2 linked regions of the Arabidopsis thaliana genome follow. The protein of the gene in region 1 interacts with the protein of each later gene in a pairwise test. Each region holds a gene or a part of one and is shown on either strand. Other genes may lie near its edges.

Region 1 (6,322 bases):
TGACCTGCACATCACCAGTCAAGAGAGGCCTCTTCCCTTGACGTTCTTTCACCAAATGACCCTCAAACTCTTCTCCACTCCAACCATCATCATCTTCAGTGTTAAAATCACCATCAAGCACAACAACATCAAGCTTTGCAGAAGCTTCAGGTCCTACTGTCAAAACATGTCCAGTTGTCATATCCAACAGTACAACATGGATTGCAGCACCTTGCTCCCCTTCTATCTTCCCTCCAGTAAACAAAGGAACAGACAATCTAGACCTGAATTGTAGCTGCAAATTCCTTCCACCGATACCTTCAATTCGTTTTGGAGACGACCTGTGAACTCAAGCATTAGAAGAAAACCACAAATACTCCAACCATTAATTTTATCTCTTTTTAAAACAGTCATATGTTACCTTTCACTAAGTCTTGCAGGGCCAAGCTTTGCCAATGCCCGCTCCACCTCTTCACTTACCTGTTTGACAATGCTCACAAAACAAATCAGTAAGCCAAAGAAACAACACAAAGCACCAAAAGACATGTAAACAATTCTTATTAAGCTAACCACTCGGCGAAGAATCGGTTCCAAAGAAGAACAAAGCCTCTGTAAACTATCCATCTTCAAGGCTTCCACAATTACACTGCAATAACACATACACAACTTTCTCAAATCCACAGACAATCAATATACATAACAACCCTTTTTTCATTCATACAACTACAAATCAATTACAGATTCAACAACGCCATAATCAATAATCAGAAAAATTACAAGCATCAACACAAATTACCTTGCAAGAGCTGGCCTTTTACGCTCAGGCTGTTGCTGCTGCTGCTGATTATCATCTTCCTCCAATTTTCTCTTCTCTCTCATACTATTAGTCCTCTCCATATACCTCGTCTGCATTTTTTACGCTGCTAGAAGCTCTGATCTATAAGATCGAAGCAAGTAAAAAACTTCACCAACCCAGAGAAAGAATCACAAATCCAGCTCTCAAACTAAAAAAAAAATCAAAACTTTACCACAAACAAATCAAACCCAGAAGCTAAGCAAGATTTTATGAATTCTACTTAAAAGCTTCTTCAAACAAACGGAAAGAGAAACCTGAAAATTCGATTCGAAGGAGAGAGAAAAATACCTCAAAAATGGTGTTTTGGATAGAAGAAAAAGAGAGAGAGATAAAATGAAAAGATCAAAAATTAATTTACTTGAAACACTTGTCTAGTTTTGTGATTAGTCGAGTACTTTGACTAGTTTTAGTAATTAAAGATAGTTATCGGGTGCGGACAAGATCACAGTAGGCTTGGATTGCCGTCACTTTTGCTTTTCGTTTATTGGACGACATTCTTGGGCCGGCGGCTAGTGTATGTATTTTTGGCACATGCTATATTCTAAAGTTGATAATTAAATAATAATACTTTGTTGTATAAAGTCCAATTATTTGTTATTAAAAAAAGACTTTAATAGTAAAAATACATTCATTTCACCAATAGCAAGATTAGGGATAAGATTCAACAATCAACATGGATATAAAAACATCTAATTGCAATGAAAAGTTAATGTTCACATAGATTTCTGTATTTTTATGTTAACTTTAACAGATTATATTCTGATTGGTCTATTAGTATAATTAAACTTTCAATCTACTTGAGCCCTGAGAATGGCCAACTCGGTCAGTTCACCAAACAAACAAAAATGATACAATTTTTTTTATAATCAAAATCAATTGGTTTTACTTTTTTAAGGTTTGAAATTTAAACAGAGGTTAAAAAGTTGCAACAAAGATCAGCCAAATTACATAACACTAGATTTAACCAAAAGGGACCAAATCTCTTTTTTGAAGTTTTAACCAACCAATCCACTAGATTCGATCAAGCTCCTTTGTCACTCACTACATTGCAATATATTATACGACATTGAAGAAAAGAAGGTATCGTCAAGTACCAATTAAGCTGAGGAAGAACTCAACAGATATTTAACATAAGCTTGAAGGTCATCGAAGAGAGTTGTTTGAGACAGACATCACTTTCCCCTGTTAACATAGAAAGGATTTTGTTTCAATCTTTTGTTATGTGACAAATCAAGCTGCTATACATCATAAAGAGAGAAGACAGAGTAGAGATTGTGTTACTTACGTGTTCATCATCAGAGTTATGTTGTCTCCTTTGAGTAAAATCCTTCCTGAAAATAGGTATTAACACGAGTTATCAAACCATAAGCAGACAGATCTGAGACTTGTTATCAAAGAGTGAGTTCAGGATAACTCACCAAGTGGTTTCCTGGTGTTCTTCTTGATGCTCACTTCTTCAGCCTCATCCAAAACTAGATTCATGTATTCGTCAAAACCCTGCAAAGGACGACGGATAAGCAAGGTTTGATGGATTCTCCTAGAAGAATCAATAATACACCCAAATTCAAGTAGACAAAAATCTAAGTTTAAAACCGAGTAGAGTGACACTATCACAAATATCATGTTCCTCCATACATATAATCAACCTCAGAAAAGCTAGGATCTTAACTCGAGGAACAACAAAAGTCAAGTAGACTGCAACATGGAACAACAAAAGTCAAGTAGACAACTCAAACCTTTAAGCCAATGAGAATGACACCATCACAAAATCTCAAGTTTCTCCAAATTATCATAGAATCAAACTAAGAAAAGCTTGAATGCTTGAATCATAACTCGAAAATCATAGAGGACATACAACTACAAGCATAGCAACAAACTGAAACAAGTAACACCCAAAGCCAAGTAGGCTGTAGGAGACAATAAGTTTTAAGCCGAAGAGAATGACACAATCATACTCAACCTAAGAACAGCTAGCTAATCAAACTAGTTTCTATTGGCAGGCTCTTATCAGTTCTTTGTGCAGTAGTAGTAACAGTGACAACTATCCCTTTTCAATTCACAACAAATGCAACAGTTCAAACACAGACTAAATTAGAGAGATAGTCACACTGCTAATGCATTTCAAACTCTCCTAAAGTTAGCATAACCCTCGAATGTCCTATAAACAAAGCCAGGAATCTAATCAATTCATGATAACGGAGCTTCAACATCAACTTACAGTGATTCTTCCTTCAATCCTCAAATCTTTCTGCTCAAATAGCCAAATCTGGATCCTAGCTTTCTGCATCACAAACACAAAAGACCAGGGAACAAATCAGTAGACGAACTACTAATAACCTAAAACCTCAGAGAGCAAATCAGAAGAAATTGAACAACTTACACTTTGAAGAAACCTAAAAATCAAGTTCTGGAGCCGCCGCCACCGGAAAACAAAAAGCAAGATACAAAATTAGGTTTCGATAGAAACAATAAAGAGATGGAACAAAGGAATCGAAGAAGAAACGTACGATAGGTTGGGTCATAATCCTTTGAACTTTGGTGCTCGCCATGGCTAACGTAGTTGGAAATCTCTCTCAAGCTTTCGAAAATTCTCTCTCAGAGGAAATCTAAAACCCTAAAAAGCGTTTGTCCCTCTGCTAATACGCTTTTTTCAACATTTTTCTTAAACTTAGTTCTCTCGGTCCTCATAAAACTTCAGAATGTTATTTCAGCCCATAACTAATTAATGTGATCATTTGGCCCAAATACTCTTTTCCAAGACCTAGAATTTTTTAGCGTAGGTTTTTAACTTTTTTTTTTTTTTTTTCAGAGAAAGATTTATTTTTAATATACTGAGGCTCAGTGTTACAACATAAAAGGCTCAAGACAGTCTACATATGAGGTCCACAACAGACTTTTACGTCACAAAAAAGAGATAAGCTTAAGACGTGTCAGACCAATAATAATAAGCTAAGGACACGTGAATCTTCCACAACCTCCACCGGATGAGACTCAAGTCTGGTGAATCGGAGAACCATCGCCGGGAAAGCACCGAGCAATGAAACTCTTTTTTTCTATCACCGATTATGGCAATTAGATGTTATAGAACAAACATCAATTTCCTAATCTCATATGGTTGCTAGAATCACAAATAATTCATCAAAACGGGTAAAGAAATTAAAAAAATTGAGTAGTTCAAACTTGTCCAACCATTGAATCTTCGAACTCTCTTGCAAAAGCACTAAAGGCATATCAAATTTGCATAGGATAGAAGCTTTAACCCAATCTTAGGCGAAAATAAAATTGAAACTGTCTTAAATATGGTAGATCCAAACGAGGGTAATTGCTGGAAACGCACACATCGCCGAAAAACTACCAGAGCCAAAAGCATAACCCAATAGTGAAGCTAAACAAAACAGAAGGAGAATAGATCTTGTAAAGAGAAACCCTCTTCAGATCTGACGATTCTGCATGCCATAAAGCTTCATCATCAAACCTTTGAAGTAACAAAACAAAAACAAAGATGACCAACGCTGTTAGTGTAAGCCCAACGCTGCCGTACGGAAGCTGGCCAACGTCGCTAAGTTAGCCAACGATGCCATACAAAAAGCCAACCATCTCCACTAACGTAGCTAGAAGATGTCGGACGAAAGCCCGAATTAAACGGGACGGCGACTCACCGGAAAACTATCCGGTTAACAAAAACAAAAGAAATTTCAGTTTCTATCTTTACAAACTACGAGAGAGCGAAGAGAGAAAAACTTTTTTGTGTGGTTTATTAACTTAGGTTTTTAATTTTTTATTATTCTGGTAAAAATATACGACTAATAATGATAATTATTAAAAATATTCTTACTTAGAAATTGGTGTCGATGATAAATTGGTTCTCAGTCGAACTAGTGTTAAAATAAATAAAAATATGACAAAGAATCACATCTATGTGCTCAATGCTAGAATTACAAAGATTGAAGAGAGATTGAAATTTGACCAAATATTATCTTCCCACATTCTTATAAATAAACAAACTTCATTCCTCACAACACAAAAATGTACAAAACCAACAATAAGCAGAAATTAAAAAGAGAAAAATGGTCACAATCTCAGATTTAAAAGAAAAGAAGACTAAAAAGCTTAGGCTATATCTATGACTAACTGAATCAAATCCAAATACAAAACAATTAGCTTTGTACAAAGAATCCAGCTTTGAATCTCAATCATTCATTATTTATCATCAGAGATTGATAAGGAACCTTCTTGATCTCCACAAATGTTGAGTACTCAGTGCTCATTGGTTGCTTCCATGGCTCACCATCCATTTGCAAGAATGCGTCTCTCCAGTCACCTCCTCTTAGCTCAAATCTTACCGCAGCAGCCTGAAATGATCACCAAAATGAAACAGTCAAACACATGGCTAAAAAGATTATACATTGACCAGTGTCTTTTGAAGTTACCTGAGCTATGTGCTTGGCAGAGATGAGCTCAGCCATGACAAATGACGCGTGCCATCCTTGCTTAAAACCGAAAATCTCTATCAAACCATCATCACAATGTGCTTCCACAAAGCCTCTCTGAGAAAAACCAAAGAAAACATTCGGGTTAACATCAGAGAACTGAGTTCATATATGATGAAATGGAACAGAAACAATACCTTCTCTAGATAGTCCGGTTTTAGATTGCCCCAAGGATGGCTTCCACTTCCATAGCTGTGAAGATTCAATGCGACAATTGATCTCACACTACAAGAGAAATCCATAGCATCAGGTTTTAAGCATTGATATCAAAGATTGTAATACATAAATCATATATCGAAAACTGTTTTTTACTTTTTCGGGACTGCGATCTCTTCCCACTGAGAGCAGTTAACCTTTTTGATGTGAATTTTCATTATGTTCCTAAGTCCCCTGCAAATTCATATAGCACAAACAAGGGGTCAACAACACAACAAAGGGCTTAAGCAGAGACTTACACACAAGTTCAACTACACAATAAGAGTCGAAATGGCGAACCTTAAACCTGGATCGTTGACACAAGGCGTGCAAAACCAACCCTGACTGCAACCAAAACTTGAATATATAATCTGCAAAAGCAAACATTGTGTGGTTGGTAATGTCGTTTCTCAAAACCAACATAACTACTTTAGCTTTTAACAAAGACAAATAATGAGTCCAAAGTTTAGGTGCAAATATAATAAACAAACCTTATTTGAAATAGGGCCTTGAGCAAGATATGGTTTAGTGTTGCGAAGATGGTGGAAGCCATATGCAACTTGAGCATCCATACCTAAACAAACCAGACAAACACAAGAATCTGGTCAGAAAAACAATTGTGAAAATTGTTTAGGATATCAAAAAGAGAAGTTCAACAAACCTATGCTTAAGTAATTGTAGAAAACACCTTCATAAGCCTTTGCAAGTGGAGGCGCATCAATTCCCGCGTCCAAACCCTGAAACCACCATAAAGCCTGGTTAATTACTAAACCGTGGCAATTTACAAAATCACATGCTGATG
Region 2 (4,568 bases), on another chromosome or scaffold:
GCACCACCATGAGGACGAAGGAGAGGTAGATCCGAAGATGAAAGAGAGCCAAAAGAGAGAGACGAAGAAGAAGAAGAGGAACCAAATAGTCTGTTTCCTCGACCGCCACCAGGTCTCAAGCTCAGAACCGTTTGATCGCCTTGCTGCATACCTCGATCTAATCCGCCTTAAGATCGAATCGAATCTCACAACAAAAATCGAAGAGAAAGGTAGAAGCTTTATCAGCGACGATGAATCGCTGACTCCGATAATCCAAGGAGAGGAGGGATCGGATTTCTGGGTCTCTCTCTCTCCTGCCGTTAGCGAAGAAGAGAAGAGAAGAGAAAAGTTGAGATTGAGAAATGAGAAGAAGAAGAAGAAGTCGAGAAGGAGACACAATCCCTTCTCTTTATTAGGGTTTTTTTCCTCTCTTTTTCCCGAACCAGACACACTTATAGCCTTAACGTTTTTTTCCGTTAAGATTACAGTTATGTCCTTTCATTTTGTTTTTTTGTCTCTTTATTTTGTCACCCTCATTGGGTTTTCCGTCAATGAACAATGTCAAATGGTAATAATGGAGCTTCCTCGGCTCGTGTTAGCTGCACCTCTAGCTCATTGTAAACATATTAAGAGACTGTAAAAACTACTAATCTGGCAAGTTGCAATCAAACTTCCACATCTCAATATCTTTACTTACAACAATTGTCTGTAACAAACTAAAGAGGCGTTAACACAAGCAGAGACGCAAAAGAAACAACTTCTGGCGTTTATAGACTCCTCCTTGTGTTTTGAATCAATACCTTCTCCTGAAGTTTCCTTGATACAGTAAGCAACTCTTCATGAAAGTGAGAAGTCGGTGGGCTGTGCAATGTTGACATCCTCAAACTCGTTATCATCTGCACATGGAAAAAAGAGATGCAATGCAATCATTATGCCGTTCATAGCTGTATAGATTCAGAATGCAATACAGCATCCTCAACAGTTGTGTAATCGAAACAAGGCTAAAAGAATAATAAGATTAGGAATCACATTCAGCTATATCACGGTCACAAAAGTTAGGCAAGACTCTTAAACATACCAAAAGATTATCCAGTGATAACAAAATAACTAAGATTCACAATAACAGGCTCAATTGAAGTCAATGGAGTTTGAAGGGTTCATATACCAAATAACATATAGAAAGATGAAGTGTGATAAGTAATTAACCAAGATGCATGATCCATTACGACATTTCAACAAGGAATTGAAAATTTCAGAATAAGAGGATCTAAGGTATAACCTTTCTTCAAAGTCAAAGCCACAACTGCATCATTCTCAACCTGAACAACCAAAAAAGAAGATGGTGACAAGCTTATAACTTTCAAATACACGCAAACGGAGGCAGTGGCTATGTGACCAAGTTCTTCTTTTAAACTTGAGCAATGACTCAAAAGATAAATATATTAGATAGTCAAACGTGTGATACCTTCTGATCTGCTAAGGATTTCGAATCCTCTAATACTTCTTCGGTAGACATTAAGACCAGACGCTGATTGTTAACTGGTTGCTCAATGAGAGCAAACAGTTTTTGCTTAACATCCAAAACAGTCTCTGTTGGATCACATTGGATAAAGTAAGTAGTTTTCATGCGCTTCACACGAATATACATAGCCTGCAAACAATATTACACAAGACTAATCAATACTACAACCAATATGGCCAAAATCTAACTTGTTCGATTGATTAAAGCAAAATTATTGCAAGACAAAAGTATCTCAACTTTTATTACTCCAAGAAGAACAGTAATAAATGTGATCAGGAAGCTGGAATTAAGAAGGGAAAAGATGTTCTCATTCCAAAAACATCTCTACTTCCCGTCAAATAAGCAAAGGATTGAATATACTAAGAACAATCAAACCCATCAAAGTGAACAAAAGAAGTAGAATGTTTACCATGGCAAGATAAGGATGAACAATTCACTCTTCTTCCGCTGCCGATTCACAAGACTTTAGAATCAAAATCTGTTCTAAGATGCCAATAAAAGATTAATCAGACTATCAGTGACAATTGACACACCTCAAAGAGTCAATTTAACTAAAGAGATGATCTAGTTATCCCCCAAATCTTTTCTTCTTTTGATATTCAAAAGAAAAGAAAAAAAAGCAAAGATTTTCAAAAATTACTGACTCAAATAACAAACAATGAAATCGACTTACCTAGATGGGTTAAGGACGAAAAAGTGACCACAAGAATGGATTAAGGATGAAATACTGGCAAAGAAATCAAAGTTGGCTTTTTTATAACTCGAGCTCAGAGCCCTACAAGGTAAGGAAGGAAGAAGAAAAATACCACTTTGGTGGCTTGTTTGGCTACAGATATAATACTAACATCGATTAGGCGTCGTACAAAACCCACTAAAAGACAGAGAGGGTTTGTTTTGTTTTAGGCTTTTATTTTTGATTGATTGAATATTAAAATACAATGCGAAAAGTCATATTGGGCTTATGGGCCGAATAACTTTATTTTATTTTTGTGGTGAAGTTAGGCCCAAATATTTTTTCGTCTTCTTCCAGTTCACGACTGAGATAATAATAATGCAAAGCAAGTTGCTATTTCCGAATGATCTCTCTCTCTCTATTCTTTTGAGTCCCAAACCCCATGGCAGGTTTGTCGCTGGAGTTTACAGTTAACACTTGGAATCTCAGGTCTCTCTCTCAAGTTCCATGTCCTTTAAGACATGGCTTTCGATTCCCGCGTCGGTTGACACGAAGAAGAACGATTCTCATGTGTTCTGGTTCGACATTTCTACCTTGTGTTCTCTCTTTTCTGATTTTTCTTCTGGATTGTGATTGGTGATGCATTTATTATAATCTTTTTAGGGTAATGTACACTTATTACCCTAAAAAAGAGATCAATTTGTTGATCGTTAAATTCCATAAGTGTTCTGGAATTGATGACAAAAATCTGCATTCGTTTCTCCACAGATTCAAGCTCTCAGTCGTGGAATGTTCCTGTTTTATCTAGCTATGAGGTAATTATGGTTTCTCTTTTATGTCTGTACTTATCAATCATATCTTTAACTCTTGAAACTGTTCACAATTTGTTAGCTAGAGATGTTTATTGACACAACCACCAGACATTTCTGTGTTTTGTCAATGAAATTATAGATGCAGCCCGTAATGAAGGATTGCGACATTTGTTTGTTATCCGTTTATGTTTAGAGGCGTTGATTGATTGAGTATCAGTGAAGTATGTTTGGTTTAAAAGGTTGGTGAGAGGCTAAAACTAGCAAGAGGAGGACAACAGTTCTTGGCCATGTACTCAAGTGTTGTTGATGGAATTACAACCGATCCAGCAGCGATGGTTCTTCCATTGGATGATCACATGGTTCACCGTGGTCATGGAGTCTTTGACACTGCCCTGATCATCAATGGGTTAGTCACTTTAAATAGTAGCCCCCTTTTCTAATTTGTCTTATTACTCAATCATCTGAGCTTCGCTTGTTGTCCTACGAATAAGCAGATACCTTTATGAATTGGATCAGCACCTTGACCGTATCTTGCGATCTGCATCAATGGCTAAGATCCCACTTCCATTCGATCGAGAAACTATTAAAAGAATTCTCATTCAAACCGTGAGCGTTTCTGGATGTAGAGATGGATCTCTAAGATACTGGCTCTCTGCAGGGCCAGGGGATTTCCTCCTATCTCCATCTCAATGTCTCAAACCAACTCTCTATGCCATTGTTATAAAAACGAACTTCGCCATTAACCCAATAGGTGTCAAGGTAGTGACCTCGTCCATCCCCATAAAGCCTCCAGAGTTTGCCACGGTGAAAAGTGTTAACTACCTCCCTAACGTACTCTCACAAATGGAAGCTGAGGCCAAAGGAGCTTATGCAGGTATTTGGGTGTGTAAAGATGGGTTTATTGCAGAAGGCCCGAACATGAATGTGGCGTTTGTTGTTAATGGTGGTAAGGAGCTTGTGATGCCGCGGTTTGATAACGTTTTGAGCGGATGTACAGCAAAGAGAACACTTACACTCGCTGAACAGCTTGTAAGCAAGGGGATTCTTAAAACTGTGAAAGTAATGGATGTGACAGTCGAAGATGGAAAGAAAGCAGATGAGATGATGCTTATTGGTAGTGGAATTCCGATCAGACCTGTGATTCAATGGGATGAAGAATTTATTGGTGAAGGTAAGTAAGATTATCATATAAACATTTTAAAAGCCTCACTTTTAATTACTTACATGATGGATAGATTGGCTGATTAAAGATGGGTTTCTTTCTGTCTGACTCAGGAAAAGAAGGTCCTATAGCAAAGGCGCTTCTTGATCTGTTACTTGAAGATATGAGATCTGGTCCACCTTCCGTTCGTGTTCTTGTTCCTTACTGAGCCAATCACTCTCTTTGTTCATCAAAGACAATAAGCTGTGGCTTTTTTGTAAAGCTTTGCTGTTATTGTAAGTTGAGTTTATCATGGGGTTTTTAGGTATCTGTCTTTGTAAAGATTTCTCTTTATCACTTTTGAATTATGATTGTACCCATTCTCAACAATTCATGGAGTGGTTGCGTCTAGTGCTCAAATTTCTTGTTTTTCATCTCTTA

Evidence for each region. Proteins that work in one complex are often made in the same cells at the same time.
Region 2: the proteins of AT2G18740 (region 1) and AT5G57860 interact in a two-hybrid assay, tested with the Arabidopsis thaliana proteins (one large-scale study listed by BioGRID).

The regions. Positions count from the first base shown.
Region 1 is NC_003071.7:8,120,396-8,126,717, reverse strand, and holds AT2G18740 (Small nuclear ribonucleoprotein family protein), read right to left. Parts: upstream 3,498-6,322; 5' UTR 3,385-3,497; coding exon 3,343-3,384; intron 3,243-3,342; coding exon 3,216-3,242; intron 3,117-3,215; coding exon 3,054-3,116; intron 2,333-3,053; coding exon 2,254-2,332; intron 2,167-2,253; coding exon 2,121-2,166; intron 2,018-2,120; coding exon 2,008-2,017; 3' UTR 1,640-2,007; downstream 1-1,639. Other genes in the region: AT2G18750 (Calmodulin-binding protein), read right to left, coding at 1-320, 401-459, 550-625, 776-891; DGK3 (diacylglycerol kinase 3), read right to left, coding at 5,029-5,187, 5,266-5,382, 5,463-5,550, 5,638-5,715, 5,821-5,891, 6,012-6,094, 6,182-6,257.
Region 2 is NC_003076.8:23,435,336-23,439,903, reverse strand, and holds AT5G57860 (Ubiquitin-like superfamily protein), read right to left. Parts: upstream 2,351-4,568; 5' UTR 2,175-2,350; intron 1,985-2,174; exon of another isoform or gene 1,949-1,984; 5' UTR 1,914-1,948; coding exon 1,911-1,913; intron 1,631-1,910; coding exon 1,445-1,630; coding exon of another isoform or gene 1,430-1,444; exon of another isoform or gene 1,299-1,429; coding exon 1,259-1,298; intron 876-1,258; coding exon 817-875; 3' UTR 501-816; downstream 1-500. Other genes in the region: eIFiso4G1 (MIF4G domain-containing protein / MA3 domain-containing protein), read right to left, coding at 1-149; ADCL (D-aminoacid aminotransferase-like PLP-dependent enzymes superfamily protein), read left to right, coding at 2,617-2,752, 2,943-2,989, 3,226-3,392, 3,481-4,157, 4,262-4,356.